Mus musculus: one gene and its partners. The protein of the gene in region 3 interacts with the protein of the main gene of each other region in a pairwise test. Links are inferred from orthologs where the notes say so. Each region holds a gene or a part of one and is shown on either strand. Other genes may lie near its edges.

Evidence for each region.
Region 1: the proteins of Adrb2 (region 3) and Arrb2 interact in binary tests that used the Homo sapiens proteins (3 or more experiments, as listed by UniProt). The link is inferred for Mus musculus from reciprocal best matches to the Homo sapiens genes ADRB2 and ARRB2.
Region 2: the proteins of Adrb2 (region 3) and Gpr37 interact in a protein complementation assay, tested with the Homo sapiens proteins (2 studies listed by BioGRID and IntAct, with this or other methods). The link is inferred for Mus musculus from reciprocal best matches to the Homo sapiens genes ADRB2 and GPR37.

The regions. Positions count from the first base shown.
Region 1 is NC_000077.6:70,430,480-70,436,996, forward strand, and holds the start of Arrb2 (beta-arrestin-2), read left to right. Parts: upstream 1-2,100; 5' UTR 2,101-2,251; coding exon 2,252-2,274; intron 2,275-5,062; coding exon 5,063-5,093; intron 5,094-5,683; coding exon 5,684-5,744; intron 5,745-5,851; coding exon 5,852-5,896; intron 5,897-6,081; coding exon 6,082-6,278; intron 6,279-6,389; coding exon 6,390-6,449; intron 6,450-6,517. UniProt on the Homo sapiens protein: Functions in regulating agonist-mediated G-protein coupled receptor (GPCR) signaling by mediating both receptor desensitization and resensitization processes.
Region 2 is NC_000072.6:25,686,452-25,692,952, forward strand, and holds the start of Gpr37 (prosaposin receptor GPR37 precursor), read right to left. Parts: upstream 3,530-6,501; 5' UTR 2,646-3,529; coding exon 1,662-2,645; intron 1-1,661.
Region 3 is NC_000084.6:62,176,178-62,182,650, forward strand, and holds Adrb2 (beta-2 adrenergic receptor), read right to left. Parts: upstream 3,805-6,473; 5' UTR 3,576-3,804; coding exon 2,319-3,575; 3' UTR 1,536-2,318; downstream 1-1,535. Other genes in the region: Gm9949 (uncharacterized protein LOC225609), read left to right, coding at 3,868-4,426. UniProt on the Homo sapiens protein: Beta-adrenergic receptors mediate the catecholamine-induced activation of adenylate cyclase through the action of G proteins. The beta-2-adrenergic receptor binds epinephrine with an approximately 30-fold greater affinity than it does norepinephrine.

The DNA of each region.
Region 1 (6,517 bases), on a different chromosome or scaffold from region 3:
TTCAGTGCTCTTAATCACTGAGCCATCTCTCTAGCTTCCCACAAGGGTTTTATGATTGCTAGGCGAGCACCCTGACAACTAAACTACGACCCTTGCCCCCAAATTCCACTTTAGCTATAGACTGCCTTACCTCTGAACATGATCTTTAGCAAGGGTCAAATCTGAATAAATTCATGAGTCAAAAAGCTTACTGTTAAGAACTCGAGTACATTTAAGCTGACTGTGTTGCTTCAGGAGGCAGAGGCAGGGGGACCCCTGTGAGTTCCAGGCCACCCAGGGCTATAGAGTGAGACCTTGTCTCAAAGAATCATATTGGGGCTGAAGAGATGGCTCAGTGGTTAAGAGCACTTTTTGTTCTCACAGAGGATCTGGGTTCACTTTCTAGCACCCACGTGGAGGTTTATAACTGCCTGTAACTCTAGTTCCAGGGGATCTGATACCTCCATAGGCACTGTGCACACAAATGGTGATGACCATGCTTACATGCAGGCTAGCACTCAGACACATAAAGTGTAACACATTGTAACAATGAAAGAGCAGACTTAAAATGTGACAATAGAACGGGGGAGGGGTAAGCAGGTGTTAAACAAGGTCTATGTTTAAAAATTAAAGATGATCTGAGATTTTTTTTTCTCGTGTACATTGTTTTTCAAATGGAGAAAAGTGGAGAGAGAGGCATGAAGGTATTCCACTGAGGGGAAATGGGTAAGAGTAGAAGGAAGAGACCGAAGAGGAGAAAAACCTGTCTCTGTCAGTCACCCTTTTCACCCTCTGCCAAACCCAGTCAATGTTGCCCCAGCAACGAACCTCTAATATGGCCCCTCTGTTCCCCCTCCACTCCCTGTTCATCGTTTTCCCTTGACTAGCTTATCTTCTAGCGGTCTTGCTATGCTCTGTGTTACCGGAAAAGAGAAATCCCATCTCGACATTCCTCTGGTGAAAAACAAAATCCAATCAAATCATTGCTGGGCTGCGATTAAAGACAGAGCTTAGTGGTGAGTCCTTACCAAGCATGCGTGAGGCCTTAGCAGAAAATTACATTACATTAAATTAGATAAACACTACAGATCCTCAGGCTCTTTCTTTCACCTGCTATACAAAGCCTTCCGCAGTCTCTTCCTTCCACAGTCTGCAGCTCTCTGCCTCCTGCCATCTAACCCACAAGCACTCGTCTATAAAGAATGTCCTTTCCCCACTTCTGCCCATCCTTCAGAATGTCTGTCCTCAAATTTCCCATCCAATGGAGTGAGTGACTGCACTCCCTCCTCCCCCACGCTGGCCAAGCAAAGGCTTTTGGGCTTTTAGTTGCTTGATGTTCTGAGTCATACCTCTATTATAGCATTCCTGGGAGCATAATATAATACCTGTTCCTATGTCTCAAAGATCCCAGGAAAGTTAGGCCATGATAATTCATGTTTGGTCCCGATGGCTTGGCACAATGACTAACACGAAATGGAGAGGGAGGGAAGGATGAAGAAAATAAGAGATGGATGGAGTGGGTGAATGATAGCTAGGATAGACAGTCGAGATGACAAGGTCTGAAAAATGTTTTAATGTTTGACCCTGCACAAAAAAAAAAAAAAAAAAAAAAAAAAAAAAAAAAATCAAAGACGATACACCAGGGGGAGCTGAAGACCACAAGAACGCGGGAAAGGCAGGCCAAACGAGGCTGCAAGCTCAGGGATGAGCAGCGCGTCCCAAAGCAAGCATCATCACGCAACTGATACGGTGCATCCACGTGGGCAGCCCTTGGCCCTCAGAACTAGACAGCACTTGAGCTCATTCCCACCGCCCCCTCGATCCCGTCCCTCCTCCACTACAGTGAAAGCAAACAAAGGGGAGGTATCCCTGCAGGGCTACGGATACCAACGGCCAATCAGCTGCTTCTAATCTCCTCGAAGGCGGCCGCCTGCTTTTAAAGGGGCCCAATCTAGTTCTAAAAGCTTGAGGAGGGGCGGGGAGATCGGGAGTAGGGACGGCGCGGGGAGGCTTCCCCGAGGGAAACGGAGGGCGGAGGCGTGGGGCGGAGCCAGCTCGAGGAGGGCGGGCTGCGCCGCGGCGCGCGGGATCCGGCTGACGCAGCTGGCCCCGGCTCCCCGAGACCCAGACCGCGAGGGGAGGGGAAGGAGGAGAAAGAGTGAGGACGCGCGTGCGCAGTGGCGCGGGGAGGAGCGGGGACCTGGCAGCAGGCGAGGAGGCTGCGAGCGAGCCGCGAACCCGGCGGGCGGAGGGCGGCGAGCGCGCGCGCACCATGGGAGAAAAACCCGGGACCAGGTAAGGGAGGTGGGGCCGTGCCGCGGGGCATGGGCGGCTGCTCGTGGGGTGTGCCAGGTTGATCCACAGACAAGGACACCGGGGAAGAAACCCCGGGGCCGGACGCCTGGGTCCCTAGAGGGTAGCGGTCCGGGGCCGCAAGCCTTGGTCCTTGAGATATTGGAGTGGAGCGTGCGTGCTAGGGCTCCTGCAAAAAGCAAGACCTGATGGGGATCGGGAAACCCACGCCTGGGTTCTCGCAGAGATGTAGGAGTCGGACTACTGGGTTCTCTGTGCAGGCTGTGATGCAAGGGCGGAGGAAGGAGGAGCAGGTGGCCGGCCCCGAGGGGTTGTGTGCTGGGAGACTGGATGCTGGGAAGGGATTCCCCTAGACTCGTGCCCAACCAATGGAAAGCCTCCTGCCCAATACCCCACAGTCTGATTGCTCCCACCTGTCCCAAGGGCCCGATAGCTCTGCTACCAAACTTCTGCCTTCTAGGTTGCTAGGAGCAACAGCTTCTTCTTGAGAGAGAAGAGTGTGTAGGGACCCTCGCTGAAATTGGACTGTATTCCTCTCCTGGGGGTGGAGGGGAGAGGTAGTATCTCCCCTGGACACACATCCTCTCCCCGGATGTTCTCTGTGCAATCGAAGCTCCTTCCTTCCACTGATACCAGAGTTCTCTTTTTTGGTCTATAGCAAAATCCACTTCCTGTTGTGACCCAACACCCCCAAGAGGACATGGGGTGAATGCTTGAGTTCCAAAGGAGCAAGAGCTAAAGAATAGGTAGGGGCTATGTGCCTCAAGCCGGAGAGGACCAAGAATAAGGGCCTGATTATGAGCAGTGACTTCTGCAAAACATGGGATCAACCCCACCACTCCCACTGCCCTTAGAGTATGAGAAAGTAGGCATCTCAGCATTAAGAAGACCAATATCTGAGAGAGATGTCCACAGGGAAGACTGACCTCCTGGATTTGAGGTTAAACACCCCAGAGAAAGGGGAAGTCACTTACTTGGGGGGAGGCCCCCAAATTTCCGTTGTGTACTTCAGGGAGGGGGTAGATGGTCCAGAGAAAGACTGCTGACTTGGCATAATTCCCTACCATCTCATCAAATTCTGGGCCACAGGAAATGGAGAGAATGGCAGGAAGTGCTAAGAGGCATCTGCTTTAGCTGCACCCCCCCCCCCAAGCTGGGTACCTCCCTGGTCATTCCCTTACTCTGCCTCCTTGGCCAGCCTCAGTATGTGCCCACTGCCCGCTCCCTAACCAGGCAAGAGGTGGCTGGGGAAGATGTAGAGAGCAGATGCTCTGTAGTTACCCCAGGGCAATTGCCTGAGACACACTGGTTATGGCTGTCACAGGCTCTGTCAGGGCTCCCATTGGGGGAAAATACAGGGCAGGAAGAAACCAGAGGTAGAAGAGCTAGCCAGCCTAGGTGATGTCTGAGCTGTCAGCCCTAATTGGGACAGAAATTAGAGTGATTGTTCTAACTGCCACCATGTCCCAATGTGCCTTATTACTTGGGGATACGTAGGGGCGCCCTATGTATATGCCATATGACCCTAAGTATGACCCTGTGATGTATGGACAGCTTGGCTTTTGGGGAGGAAGAGACAAGTGGTTTTCTGAGCAGACATTTACATGGTGCTTGAAGGGAGGATGGAACACGGGGCATTATTCAGTGTGTTACCTGGGGTCCTTTCCCAGGAATTGCCCCTGGGGCAGCATGCCTCACAGGGGGCAGAATGACACTTGGAAGAATAAGCCACCGAGTAGCCAGAGCCCTGGGGTCACTAGACAGTTTCCTACTAATGCTCCCAGCAGCGGGTGGAGTCTAGGCTTAGGTTGTTGCAGTACCCGTGTAAAAAAATCCCCTTTGACTTGACAAACTGTGACAGGCAAGCGCCGCCACTATGTAGTGGTTGAGAACAGGGTCTTGAAGCCAAGGTACCTTCCTTAAGTTTATATCCGAGTCCCACCCTGTACATTCTCTGTGACCTTTGACAGAATTCTTGTTCGATGTAAAACAGGGATGTTTCAGTCTCAGCCATTGGGCTATAAGAGCAATAGATGCAGTTGGAACAGAGCAGCCCCCCTGTACCATGTTAGCCGCATCACCATCTTTGCCATAGGATGCTGCTGTGTTGGGACCACAGTGGATTTTTTTTTAAGCTGCGAGGCTGTTGGAGGTTCACGAAATAGTCAGACTTGGGCAAAAACCATCTGAGGGGCAGAGACTAGGCTCTGCTCCGGGAGTCACTGTATGGGTCCCTGAAGCTAGAGGTCAGTTGAAAAGATTATCTGAGTGTGATGGTTTGTGCCTTTCATCCTCGCACCAAGGAGGCAGGGACAAATGGATCTGAGTTGGGGCCAGCCTGGTCTATATGTCAAGATCCACGCTAGCCAGAGTTACATACGAAGGCCAAGGTCAAAAAAGGGGGGTGGGGAGGGGTGTTAGGTGTGACCCAGACAGTGTGTATCCATCCAGTTCGCTCTCAGTTTTGGAGAGGGTCCCCTGGGGAGGAGAGCCTGGGTAGTTCCTGGGGTAGCTAGTGGCCATTATTGTAAGAGGAGGAGTGAGTTATGTAGCATCGAACAGCAAAGGAGCAAAGGCTCGCTCGCCCTGACAGTTGGCTTCGAGGGGCTGCCATGTGGGAAATACTGGGACTTTATAAAAAAGCAGTGGGAAGGGTAGGGCAGGGATCCAGGCTGAATTCCCTTCTCAGGCTGGGGAGGGATAAGTCCTGGTGTGGTGGTCCTTGCCCAGCCTAAGGGAGGCAGTGGGGTCTTCCTTTCTGTTTTGTTAGGGTCTTCAAGAAGTCGAGCCCTAACTGCAAGGTGAGTCCCCCTCGATGCTTACCCTTTGATCCTCCCTGGGCCCGATCAAAGCCCTCGATGATCCCCAAGCCTTTGCTCCCCACTTCCTGTGACAGCTAAAAGCAGACTGACTTCCTTCCCTCCTTAAGCCCCTTGCCGCAGTCTGAAGAAGCCACAGGGCTGGGTGGGGTCTGGGTTCCTAAGCAAGCTTGTAACTCTCTTAGAAACCAACCCAGGGTGCCTGAGCTAGGAATAGTTAATAGTTTCCCAGGCTGTGGGCTGTTTATCTCAGAGCCCTTTGTGGGGACAGCTGCTACCTGCCTGGTCTGGCTGAGTGTTCCCTGAAGACATAGAAACACACATAAACACACACTTATGTGTACCGACCCTCCGTGGGTGGGCAGAGGTGTGGAAAGCAGGTAAAAGCTTAAACGAAAGTTTTACTAAGTTGTCTGGAAAACTCTACCAATCTCACCTTCCAGTCATACTGGGAGACAATCCTTCCTGATAACCCACCCAAGGGGAGCCCAGAACAGGACACCCACCTTTGAGAACTCTGGTGGCTTGCCACCATCCTCCCCAATTTCCCCTGTGACCCTTGACCTCCTCAGCTCACCGTGTACTTGGGCAAGCGCGACTTTGTAGATCACCTGGACAAAGTGGACCCTGTGGGTAAGTTTGCCTAGATGGCACCAACACATCACCCCTGCAAGAGGGGAGGTGATTCCTGGGTCTGGGAGTGGCCCCCTTCAGAAAATGAATCCATCTCTCTTTCCTAGATGGCGTGGTGCTTGTGGATCCTGACTACTTGAAGGACCGGAAAGGTACTACATGTATGCTGGAGGGGAGAAGACAACATTAGATGGGCTGACATTGATAAGAGAGGAAAGGAAGGCAGCATCAGAGGCAGGGAATAGGATTCCGGGAAGTCTGTTATGCCGAAGAAGGATGTGGGTGCCGTGAAGAAAGGGGCTTCTCCTAATCACCCTGACTCACCCTTACTTGTCAGTGTTCGTGACCCTCACCTGTGCCTTCCGCTATGGCCGAGAAGACCTGGATGTACTGGGCCTGTCTTTCCGCAAAGATCTGTTCATCGCCACCTACCAGGCCTTCCCCCCCATGCCCAACCCACCTCGGCCCCCCACCCGCCTACAGGACCGACTGCTGAAGAAGTTGGGCCAACACGCCCACCCCTTCTTTTTCACGGTGAGGATGCTCTCCATTTCCCGCAGGGCTTGGGGTCTGGGGCTCTTTGGGATTGACATGGGATGAGGCACCTGTTACCAGTTGAAACGCCTCCTTTTTCCTCTGCCACAGATACCCCAAAATTTGCCTTGCTCCGTCACACTGCAGCCAGGACCAGAGGACACAGGGAAGGTACGGGAGGGACGACTCTCACAATATGTGAATAGAACCAGGCTCAGCTAGATACACAAAGCACAGCT
Region 2 (6,501 bases), on a different chromosome or scaffold from region 3:
TTGCTTTGGCCATTTGTTTCTTTCTCTGGTCCTTTTCCCTACCTTCTTTCATTGCCTTCCCACCTAATGTATAATGCAACCCCTGCCCCAATCTGTAGTTCCCAGTGAGGCAAGCCAACACAATTCCTGCTTGTGGGTTACCAATCCTGTTTGAACTTTACACTTTACTTTCTAAATCTCCTTCTGGCACAAGTCTTCTGCATTATTACAACAAAAAATCACAGAAAACTTAACATTGCCTTTGAAAAGATAAATGTAACATGACACCTAGTCTCTTATACTATCCAACTATGTCCTCTCCCCAGTAAATGGCAGCATTTCAGAGTCTCTCCGTGCTTGGCAACAGTGAGGCCCTGGATCCTGGTAAGTAGCAACAGCTGATTTAGTAGCCATGGATGGTCCTACATCTGAGCCCAAACTGAATAACAGAGGGTCTTGTTGACTCTCTGCCTCTGGACCTTCTCAGTAGGCACTGTTTGCTGTTTACTTATCTTGGAATTTTAAGCCTGAGACAATGTTGAACACAGTGTCAACTGGCCCTGGTGCCAGACAGGATCAGAGGCTCTGGAATATTTACAGTTTCCCTTCTTGTGTTTCTATAAATGAAATGGACAGCCTGAATGGAGAAAAATCAAGGCCCAGCTGGCTAAAACCACAACTGGCAGCCAAACACTTGGGTGGGTTCCAAGAGCTGGTGTTTAAAGAGAAGCCAATTTACAGAGCAAATTCCTACTGCTAGAGCAACGACGGGTACAGTAGCTCTAGCATGAAGCAGTAAAACCTTGTCTTGTTCAAACAATTTTCATCTCAAAGTTTGGAAGCTAACTCCTTTTTTACTTCAGAATTGTTCTTATGTTACCTATAAATCATTTTAAAATTGTTTATTCTTCACAGCCATAGCAGTGGCAAATTTGTGTCCTATGCTCTACAAATGTTAGATTATAGGAGACTGGACTAAGTCTTATTTTTGTTTAAGTTTATCCAGAAAACTGAACTGTTTCTAAAAGTTAACAAGGATCCACAAAGAAGTCCTAACAATGTAGAGGAAACAATAAGGTAGATATCTTAACCAATTTAAACTAATTTGGAGGTTCCTAATATATCATGAGGCCAACTACAAAAACTAAAATTGATGTTCTTTTATACATAAAATATAACCTCAGCTTTGGTAGTTAAAAATGAGAAAAAGCTCAATTGCCTCTCTTGGGGATGGCATGGTGGAATCACGATGAAATACTAGAACTTTAGTAAATGAATATTAATGATCCCTCCCCCACCCCACCCCCAGTACTACGTTCCCATAAAGACAACCATGGGCTGGCCATTATTTAACCCAGGATACCAAGTCAAAAATATCATATCCAGAGAAAAGCTGTACATATAGAACTATCACACACACACACACACACACACACACACACACACACGCACGCACGCACGCACACACACGCACACACACACACACACACACACACACACACACCAGGCTAGGAGCAATGGAGTTTGAAGATGGTTTAGCAAAGCTGCTTTCTTTCATACACACACGTGCTTGCATAAGTGACTGGGGGAAAGAGAAGGGATTCAGAGAAAGAAGCAAAGAGTCCCACAGGTAGGTGCTTATTCTCCGGAAACAGAAAAAGGCAGTAGCTAGAGGTCATTACCTCGATATAGGGCACGATCTTGCAGGAGAAATCTTCCAAAAGCCACTTCTTAGTCAACTCATGGAAGATGACCAGGGGGAGGCAGAAGAAGATGATGAGAAAGTCCCAGAAAGCCAGGTTGGCCAAGAGAGAATTGGAGATGCTCCTCATGTAGTAATTGTGACACACGATGCACATCACTGCCAAGTTGCCAATAATGCCGGTCCCAAAGATCACCACAGATAAGCACATGACCGCATAGGCTCCGTAGGATTCTTGGGTCAATGGGTAGAAGGGGTTCTTCAATCTCACGCGCCGCGTGGTGTTTCCACGGCGTGGACCCCCTTGGTCAGGAACCCAGTCATCTGCAGACCCGTTTTGCGGTAGTGCCCTGCCTGGAGGAGCAAGGGTCCTTCCTTCGTGTACTGCTGAAGGCCTGTGTTGGGAATCCTGGAGTTGTCCAGTTCTTCGTGGCCAGTAAAAAAGATCTCTGGGTTCCGTTTTCACACTGTGCTCCTGCCTGCTCTGGGGAATCCCATCGCGCTTGGAACTCATCTCTCCCCCCTCCGATGTCGGAAAGAAGAGTTGGGGATCCGTGGGGTCCCTTCTCCTCAAATGCCCGGATGGTTCTTTACCCTGGGCACTTTTCCATCTCCAGGCACTTGGTGGCTTGGTTGGAGGTCCCAAGGGCCCAGCAGCCGCCGCTTCTTCAATCACACCTGTGTCACCGCCCCTGGGTGGTGGGAGGTCCCAAGAGGTCGCCCCTCTCACCTCTGCTTCCAGTTTCTCTCTGGGCACATGGACTCGCAGAGCGTCTTTTGCCGAATTCCCAGGTCCACGGGCATCCCTGCTGCGGCGTTGGATCAGTGGGGAACAGCTCTCCCCCAGACAAGTTCCATTCCTGGGCTCAGGGACAAAGCTCAGGGCAGCAGAGACAGAAACCTTAAACAGCAGAAGGAGCAGCAGCCGCGATGTGCGCGAGAGAGGCGCGCCCCGGGCTGGCATGGCTCGGCGAGGGCGCACCTACTAGCCTGGCTCTAGCTTAGCACCGACACCTGCTGCCAAACTTGGTGCAGAGAGTTAGGCACATGTCACATACTCACCGCTGGGTAGAGGATGGGAGCAGAAGATTGCTGGGAGGGAACAGGGCGCTTGGGGAAGGACGGTGTCATCAACACATCCCTACAATCCTTCCACGTTTCATGTTCTGAGCATTTCCCAGCCAAATCTAATCCAAGCTCGGTGCACCCGAAGGTTCCCAGGGAAATAACAGATCCAAGAGGCTGACCTTGAAAAGTTGCGAACACCACCTGATTGTTCCCTAATGTTGCGACTGGGCGCAGCCTGGAGGAAGCCCCGCGCTCCTCCCAGCCTTTGGGTGGTGGCTGTCTTCTTGGTAACAGTTGCTCTGCTATTTACATCCTTTCCATACTGCTTTATCCAGTCGCTAGTAGAGGTCTCTAGAGAAAAAGAAAAACAAGTCCGCTCCACTAGGGGACTGGCTGTCACAATCCCACTCTCGGCTGGCGGGGGGGTGGGGGGTGGGGACCCTTGCAAACAAGGCACCACCGGAGCACAGAGGAAACTCTTGCTTCGTTTAACTCCGACGACTTTCAAAGGGACTGTTGCCAAGGAGAAGCCAGATTCGAAACCCGCGGCCACTGTCAAAGTTGCTGCTCCTTCAGTTCAAAGTTGACAAGTGGATGGCGCCAGCGGCTGCGCCTAGTGCACGGGCTGAGAAGGCGTGGAGTGGAGCGAGAGGGAGGAGAGGGCGCTGCTGTTTTGTGCACAGTGCTGTGGGCTGCAGGAGCTTGTCACTGCCACCACCATCGCAACCCGGGTGGAGAGCGTGGTGCCTGGAACCGCTGCTGGCGGGCGGAGCGGTGCATGGTGGACAGGGGAGGTGGCCCGGCCTCTCCCAGCGGCTCAGCCACTGCGCGGGCTTCACTCCAGGTCGCCTCCCTCTCGTCCTCCTTCTAGCAGAGCATCTGGTTTGTGGAGAGACGGGATCCCCTGGTGGTTTTACCACACACTAAACCCACACACGTTTCATTCAAGGCGTTCGCAGTAGCTTTCAATAGGAAGCTAGGAGCGACCCGGGAACAAGGGCGGAGGCGCCGAATCTGCACGGCTAAAGGCAAGGAGGACGTGAACTCCATGGGTTATTGCCCTAGATAGTCCAACCAACCCGACCTAATCTGTCACCACTAAGGAGGGGGTTGGATCTCAGGACCCCCGGTGCAGGCGGGGATCCCTGGAGGAGAAGGTAGAAAGGGCAAGCCTCTTGAGATCTGCAACAATTGGTAGCAACTGGTGCGCATGCTCAGGCTTCAGACTCCCCAGGGAATAGTGACACATTCACAGTCTTAGATTCCCCAGAGCAGAGTCAGAAAAGAAACAGACTTCATTGGTTTCATTCACTCGGTAAGAGAGTAGATTGTAAGGTAAGAAGGATCCAGGTGTCCCGTTACCTTTAACATTGACTTTGAAAGCATCCTACCAGGAGGTGGAGTTAGAGCTGATCACAGGGAGCAGGAGGAACGCAGCAACCTTGATATGTTCAGAACTGAGAACTGAGGAGGACCGAACTCCCATCACGATGCCCATGCCTTTCCAATTTTTATATACACACAACCCCGTGTAGCAATCTTGGTATAGCTGAGAAAACAGACAAATATCGGACCAAATTTTTAAAAGGGGAAGAAATAAACATGTGAGATAGAGACAAAGGCAACAACAGAAGAATTATCTAAGGGCACAATAGAAAATACAGTAAAAATACAATTGCAGTAAAGAGCCTCAAACTATCTACGTCCTAAGCACTGTCATTTGTGAATATGTGTTTACATAGCAAAAGGAACTCTACAGTGAGACTTACTTAAATATCTGGAGATGAAAAGAGTGTCACGGGTTATAAATTTGTGCACACACAAGGGACCCAAGAAGAAAAAGGTAGAGAGAGATGAGAGGGTAGTAGACTATGAAAATCTTTATAATTTTTTTTCTTGTGTTGAGGTTCAAATGGGCAGATGCACAGACACCAGACATAACAACAAAACTGACAAGGGTCAAAAAAAACAAAAAACTATTTTGGAAAAAGTTAGACAAAAATTAAAATACGGGATTTCACCAAAGGTTAAGTGTCAAATGACATGTCACAGGGAGGTAGTGTTCAGCACCAGCTTGTTGGATGACTGAAAATGGAAACAGATAAAATTACTCTTCTTTTAAAGTAGAAAAAATGAAAAGAGAAGAAAATCCCATTTGCAACGGTATTTGTCAATACCTCAAAATACTGCAGATTTATATCCTGTGCGTTCAAAACATAAGATCAAGAATAACCCTTGTGAAGCCCTTGTGTCTTACAAGGAATCTTTGAACTTATTTCTAAGAGCAAGAGCAACCAGAATCACATGGAAATAATGTAAAGGACATCAAAGTTAGGAATAAAAATTCCCACTCTGGTGTATGTAAACAGTACAAACTAGTTGTATGTATGTCATGTCAACCAGACAGATCCTGAAAGCACAAATGTAAAAATAAACAGTGGGTTCATTATACTGCACTGCCATTTGAGCTGTGTCGATATATGGATAGAAAGGACACATGCTATTTGGATTAGTAGTCTATTCAAAAGTTGGTGAATGGAAATGTTATGTGAAGAATCTTCTATTGTAATCAAATTTTGTTATCATATATAATTGTATTATGTAGTTATATATTATATATTTATATATTATATGTACTTAATTATATATAATAATTTTAATTAATTATTTTCTTTCTTAAAAAAAATCCAAAACAAGAGCTAGGTTAACTATGGAACAGAAAAACAAGACACCAAAATAAAGTCTGTGATGCTGTTTTCTCTTTCAAAGTACCTTAAAGACTGGGCTATATATGTAAACAATTTTCTACTCTTCCTACTCTGGATCACTTAAATGAGCCACTAATTTTAATGGTACTCAGCAAGGAAAAGAGGCTGAACTATAGGGGAAAAATCCCTTTAAGTCCTTCTTAGAAGCCCCAGTTGGCATCTTTAAGGTGGCAGAACACAGCTCCCAAGTAGACAGCTTATGCTTATGTAGATTGTGAAAACACTGAAGGGCTGCCTATGTGTATCTGAATGCTGCCTTCATTTTCCTAAGTATCCCCTCCTCCACCTGAATAATGATGCCTTCCTGTTTGGATGGATAGCATGCCCTAACTCCTTAAGTTTCACAGTGACCATGAAACACACACACACACACACAGGAACTCTTTGAGCCAGGCAGAATATCAGTTATTTAGCTTTCAGAAAAATATAATTTTTCTTCTGAAATACAAGGATACAAAAGGCTGCTTTCAGATCCGCTCACATGACTTAATATGTTGATTAAATGAATGAGAAAGAACTATATAAAATGTAAATATTCAATGTCATTACTAGTCCAACTATTTGTAATTCTTAGCAAATTTTAAGCACCATTAAGAATATATAAGCCTTAGTGGGTAATGCCTATGATAAATAAAAATCTGAATTAATGAGTTTATTTTCTAAGAAAGTTTAGAATACATTTAAAAAGAAGTAAAACAAATGCCTTTCAAATGCTTTCCCAAAGCTTCTCTCAGCTGTTGCTATAATTTTAAAAATAGGAATAGTCACAGCTCATCTATTTCTGTAGTTTCTACTTTAGAAATAAATATCAAGAAGTTAGCTGCTCAGTGTCTGAATTAAGTCTGAGGTCATTTATGTGTGCATGAAGGACTGGTGTGGTCACAGCTATCTTCTATGTCAGCATATCAGGAGCTCTTTATTACATACCATTGATTTTTATTAAAATTAAGGAGTACATGTAAATTATTACATGTCTCAGTATTT
Region 3 (6,473 bases):
AGGTCCTTTCCAGTATCAGGCTTTCAGACTCTTCAGATTATGGACTCTCCAAATCCAAGAACTTGTAAGGGTATGGGGGATTTGAAGGACATCTGGAGAAGCTTGCTGTACCTCGGGACGTGAGTCCCAGAGCAGGAGGAGACTACGACACGAAAACCTTGACCAAGACGTGAGAGCACAGAAGAGCATACATTGCACTTTGCAAAGCATGGTCTTTGCCTCCCTCTGAGAGATCAGTGATCACCACTACTGAGCTTTCGAGAAGCAGAGGAGGCTGGTGTTGGGGACCTCGGACAGTAGGGGACATAGAAGGGGAGTCAGCTTTCCGAGTGAAAGAAATGATGAAGGCTGACCCTTTCCAGCCCAGTGTTGCCAAGGAGGACGATCCGCTCCGTGAAACCTGGGCCGAGCTCTGGCTCAGACACACAGGCAAAAATAGAAAGGGGCTGCAAGAAGAAATGTGTTTACTTTTGTGATTTCCCTCTGTGCCTCTTAACAGTATTATAATCTCTCTGCACACAGGCAGTAAGAGCCCTGCGGGCCTCACCTCTACTGATAAACCCTCCCAAATGACTCCGTGCATGAGCCTAAAACCTCAACTTCTTCTGGTAACTACCTGGGCAGCTGGAAGGCAAGTTTAGAAGGCACCATGAGGAAGAAGAAAGAGGAGGGGCTGAGGGGCTGTCACAACTGAGTAAACTGGGAAAAACCCCTCTCCTAGGTGTCAAAAATAGAACCTTTGTAGTAATGATTTAGGTTTGCAAAGTCTACAGCAGGCTTTCTACTAAGCAGTACTTTACCCTTAGGGGTAAGAGGTCGCGGCTGAAGTTGTTCTTGGCAATTATTTGTAAACTTGAGGGGGGGTGCTACGCGGCTGAAGTTGTTCTTGGCAATTATTTGTAAACTTGAGGGGGGGTGCTACCAGAATTTACTGGGTACAGAGCTGCCGCCAAATATCATATAATGCACGGGAATGCCAGACATGGGGAAGCCTGGTTTACACAGAAGTGCAGAGAATTGGGGAACAGAAGACACGGGACAGCAGACGGGAGCGAGGAGAGGCTGAAGGGCGTGAAGCATTCACCAGCTATGTTTTTTAAAGCTTTGCTCTCTCTCTCTCTCTGACCGAGGCCTTTGATTTCCCTCAGAATTTCTAGATGCTTGAACAGCTATTACACAGAACATCTTCCTCATCCTGAACACACCAAGCCCTGATGCAGTACAAAGGGCACTACTGTAAGAGACGGCAGTGATGTAAATATACACAGTTATTAAGCAAGTAAGGCTGGAAGGTGGGTGTCAGGAGCATATGGGGACAAAAACATATGCCCATAACTCTGTTTCCGTGAGTCAGGGTTTCTGGAGTGACAGCACAGAAGAGCAACTGTAGGACATACTGGGTTATGCTGTGAACAGGCAGGACTGCTTTGGGACACGAGTGAAGTTAGGGAAGGCACAGGTTTGCATCTGGAGCTCCGAAGACACACACGGAAGGGCTAGGCACGGTGCATGCCATTCTGGTACTCTTACACATTAAGCCACTCATCGGTCACGACACATAGTTTACCTGTGGTTTCCAGTGGGAGAGACAAGGACACTCCAGAGTCAAGAGGTTTTGAAGAAACGGGTGCAATGAAGTCATGGTTAAACAATTTATTTACTGTAAACTTTAGACTTTTCTCAGCAAAAAAAAAAAAAAAACCCAAAAAAACAAAAACAAAAACAAAACCCCAAAAAACAACAACAAACCAAAAACGAACCAAACAAACAAAAAAACAAAAACAAAAACAAAAACAAAACAACTGATGTTGTCCCTCAAATCCCTGCCTGCAACACTCCATTTGAGTAAATAAGTGGAGTGAGAGAGAAAGGGCCCATTGTCACAGCAGAAAGGTCCAAGACACAGGATATTTCAAGTCCAAGGGTACAGGAAGAAAACTCTCTCCTTTAGATATGGATTTCCAGCAGCAATATATATCATTCTTAATACTTGACCAGTGAGGTAGATACATGAAAACATCATCCAGACAGACAGACAGACAGACTCAGTCCTCCAGAACCAACACTCTTCAGACAGAAACCTTTAAGTTCCATACAAAGAGGAACTGAACTATACAAGAAAACAATAAGCACTCAAATACAGTTTCTCTCTCTTGTTTGCAGCTTAAAAAATAAAATAAAATTTAAAAAAAGGCAGAAGGATGTGCCTCCCCTTCTGCAAATCTCTATACAATTTTATTCTAAAGTTATTACACTCAAGTTAAATAGTCTGGTTAGTGTCCTGTCAAGGAGGGGTCTTAGAGAGTAGAAAGCCTGTATTACAGTGGCGAGTCATTTGTACTACAGTTCCTTCCTTGGGAGTCAACGCTAAGGCTAGGCACAGTACCTTGACAGTTCACAAAGCCTTCCATGCCTGGGGGATCCTCACACAGCAGTTCCTGTTCTCTCTCCTGCCCCAGCTGACAAGTGTTTGGCTCCCCTGTGTAGTCCGTTCTGCCGTTGCTATTGCTAGAGTAGCCGTTCCCATAGGTTTTCGAAGAAGACCTGCGAAGGCACAGAAGCTCTTGAAAGGCAATCCTGAAATCTGGACTCCGACAGTAGATAAGAGGATTGAAGGCAGAGTTGACGTAGCCCAACCAGTTAAGGAGGATGTAAACTTCCTTAGGGATGAGGTTGTCCCTGATAACGTGCACGATATTGACAATGAAGAAGGGCAGCCAGCAGAGGGTGAATGTGCCCATGATGATGCCTAAAGTCTTGAGGGCTTTGTGCTCTTTCAAGCAGAACTTGGAGGACCTTCGGAGTCCGTGGCCGCTCCGCCCATCCTGCTCCACCTGGCTGAGGTTTTGGGCGTGGAATCTTCCTTCAGATTTGTCTATCTTCTGCAGCTGCCTTTTGGCCACCTGGAAGACCCGGGAATAGACAAAGACCATCACCACCAGGGGCACGTAGAAAGACACAATCGAGGACGCGATGGCGTAGGCCTGGTTCGTGAAGAAGTCACAGCAAGTCTCCTCGGTGTAACAATCGATAGCTTTCTTGTGGGTGGCACGGTACCAGTGCATCTGGATAGGCAAAAAGGAGGTAAGGCCAGATACAATCCATACCATCAGGATGACCACTCGGGCCTTATTCTTGGTCAGCAGGCTCTGGTACTTGAAGGGCGATGTGATAGCAACATAGCGATCCACTGCAATCACGCACAGGGTCTCGATGCTGGCTGTGACGCACAACACATCAATGGAAGTCCAGAACTCGCACCAGAAGTTGCCAAAATTCCACATTTTCATAAGGATGTGACTGGCCCCAAACGGCACCACCGCTAGGCCCATGACTAGATCAGCACACGCCAAGGAGATTATGAAGTAGTTGGTGACGGTTTGTAGTCGCTCGAACTTGGCAATGGCTGTGATGACCAGCACGTTGCCAAACACGATGGCCAGGACGATAACCGACATGAGGATGGCCATGCCCACAACCCACGCTTCGTCCCGTTCCTGAGTGACGTCGTGGTCTGGCGCTCGGCTTCCGTTGGGTGCCAGCAAGAAGTCGCTGTCGTTCCCGTGTGGCCCCATGGCTGGCAGGTTAGCAGGTGAGCGCACCGGCTTTCGGTGCCCAGGCGCTCTCAGCGGGTGCACCTCCGACGGGGCGCAGCCGGCCGGGGGCGGACTCCTGGAAGCTTCATTCAGCGGCCGTAGGTGGCTGTGCTGGGGTGCGTCCTGCACACTCAGCTCGTGGGTGCTCCGGGCTCGCGGTGCCTGCAGCCGCAGCCTGAATGCCTGAGAAGCAGCCTTGCAGTGCGCCCTGCCCGTTATGTGCACCAGACTTTAGGGGAATTGCCCAGTGACGTGCAACAACTTTGGGCCAATGGCACGGCCGGATGCCCGGAGGGGCGAGGCACCAAGGGCCAACCCTCCCAGCCTAGCCCGCCTCCTCCTGGGGTTAGCCCGGGCGGGGCCCAGCGGCTCCCCGGAGGCCAGGCCACCGCTCCCTTCCAGCTACCCTAGCTGGGGCACCAGAGAGAGAAATCTAGGGCTGCTGTGCAACCCGCCAACCAGGCGCTGTCTGGAGGTGCTACCTGTCCGTTCAGGTCACCTGTGCGGGCTGAGAGGTCTCTGGACGCCAGTAGCGCAGGGTGCGTTTTCTTTTAGGAACAGAAAGAGCAAGCTCACCCGGACACGCACACACAGGCACAAACGCACCCTGACGACCAGGACATGCTCAGACTTATGCCGAACCACAGCCACAGCCACGGAGACACACCCGCGCCCGCTCATTCTGGAGATGACAGCTGTCTCCTGGTCCAACAGAGAGGTGGCTGTAAACAAACCCAGGAACACCCAGAAGCAGGAGGAAAGAAACACACATAAGCGCTCCTGTGGAGACATGGAGTGCGGACCACTCAGACACCGGTGTCCACATCCAGGTACCACCCGCTTCTAGCACTCATAAGTGACACCCCATTCACAGACATCCAGTGTATCCCCTTTCAGTTATTTGGCAAGAGCACAGGAGATGACTCCAACAGCTACAGAGTTTCTCAGCACACTTTGTGAAAAAATATTTTTTTGGCATCCTCCCTCCTTGAGAACCGCACCAAGGCAGTAACTTCATCCTTCGCATTTCTTTAGACCTAGAAGTATACACATTTGGGTAGGGTTGGGAAGGTGTAATTCTTAATTCTTGGGAGTGTGGCATCATTTTCTTGTTATATGGCGGATATCTGGGGATGTGCTGAAAATAAAAATGCAAGTGCAACCATTTTCAGTTTTACAATTTAAAAAATTAAACTACATTATTTATGTTCTGTGCATGGGAGTCTTATCTCTACATTTGTCTGTGCACCACATTTGTGCCTGTTTTGGAGGTCAGGACAAAGCATCAGATTCCCTAGGACTGAATATACAGATAGTATCAGCTCACAAGCTGCCTTTGTGAGTGCTGGGAATTGAACCCTGGTTCTCTGGAAGACTAGCCAAAGCTCTTAAGCACTGAGCCGTCTTTCCAGTCTTCATAATTTTCTTTTCAAACAATTTCTTTAGTAACTCTGTTTTAACTATAAAAATATTAATTGTATTAATTGTATGTGTTGGCTGGGTAATTTGCTAATCTTTTAGGCTGTGTCAGTGAATGTGCCACCATTGGGCTATTTCTGCCTTTAACCTCGCTGCCCACCCCACAATTTCATATAATTCCCTATATTAAAAACATGTTTTGTGGAGTTCATTTTAAAACTACAGAAAAAAAAGGATAGTTGAGGATAGTTGTTCCTTCCCATTAAAAAAATTCAGAACAAGACTAAGATTTCATGAAATGCTAATCTCTGCAGCTGGCAAATGTCTTGACTGTTGGGAAAAAATTAATTTTCAAGGTTTGATTTCACATGTATTATGTTTGATAGACTGAAAGTCTTTCACACGGAGTAAGCAAACATACTTTGTAGATTACATAATACCATAACAATGGCTGACATTTAGGGCACATTCTGCTATGTGCCTTTTGTGCATTATTGCATTTAATCCTTCCCACAATTCCATGGTGGTATTTTTAGCTCGATTCTCCAATGGGATCAAATTCTCTCCATCTCTAAGGGGGTGTGCTTGCAGATTTGAAATGGGGAGAGAGGGAGAGAGAGAGCGCCAGCCATTTTCATTGTGATGAGTGAGAATCAAATTCTATTGCTACCGTAAGTGCTGTTACATAGCTAAATATCAGACAAATGTGAGTTTGTCAGTGAACTTTGGGCCATTTTTGGGGGGGAGGCAGGGTTTCTCTGTGGAGCCCCAGCTGTCCTGGAATTCACTCTGTAGACCAGGCTGGCCTCGAACTCAGAAATCCGACTGCCTCTGCCTCCCAAGTGCTGGGATTAAAGGCGTGGGCCACCACTGGCCGGAACTTTGGGTAATTTACTTACTCATTTAGAACACATTACCCATTTCCTCTAACAAAACAACAGTGAAGCACTTTGTGAAAAAAAAGTAGGTGCGGTGTTTACTTGAGAAATGGGGCTTAGAAATGGAACCTACATGGGCCCTTCGGCCTCCTTCAATGACACATTTTTTTTTATAGTGCCTCAAAAATATTTCCCCTAAACCCCACAAATATCAATTAAAGATCTCTTCTGTTCACACAATTTTCAAAGCACACCCACTTTGTATTTTCCAAAACTGGGTGCATTTTAGGAAGAGGCTTTGTGTTATGCAACAACCTTTCTTTAAATACACATCTACTCAGAATTGTGGAACTAAAACACTTGAAACCTACTTCCTGTTTGTGAAGGTATGGAATATATAAGCACGAAGTTTAATCTTCCCCTAACAACAACAACAACAACAAAAAGCCTCAGGCAGAACTCTTTTAGGAGTAACACAATCTTTTATTTGCTGTGCACTTAAGTCACCCCGAACTTTAGCTATATAATTTGGGAAACATCTTTTAAAAGCCTCATACAGACTAAATGGAGAAGAGGAAAT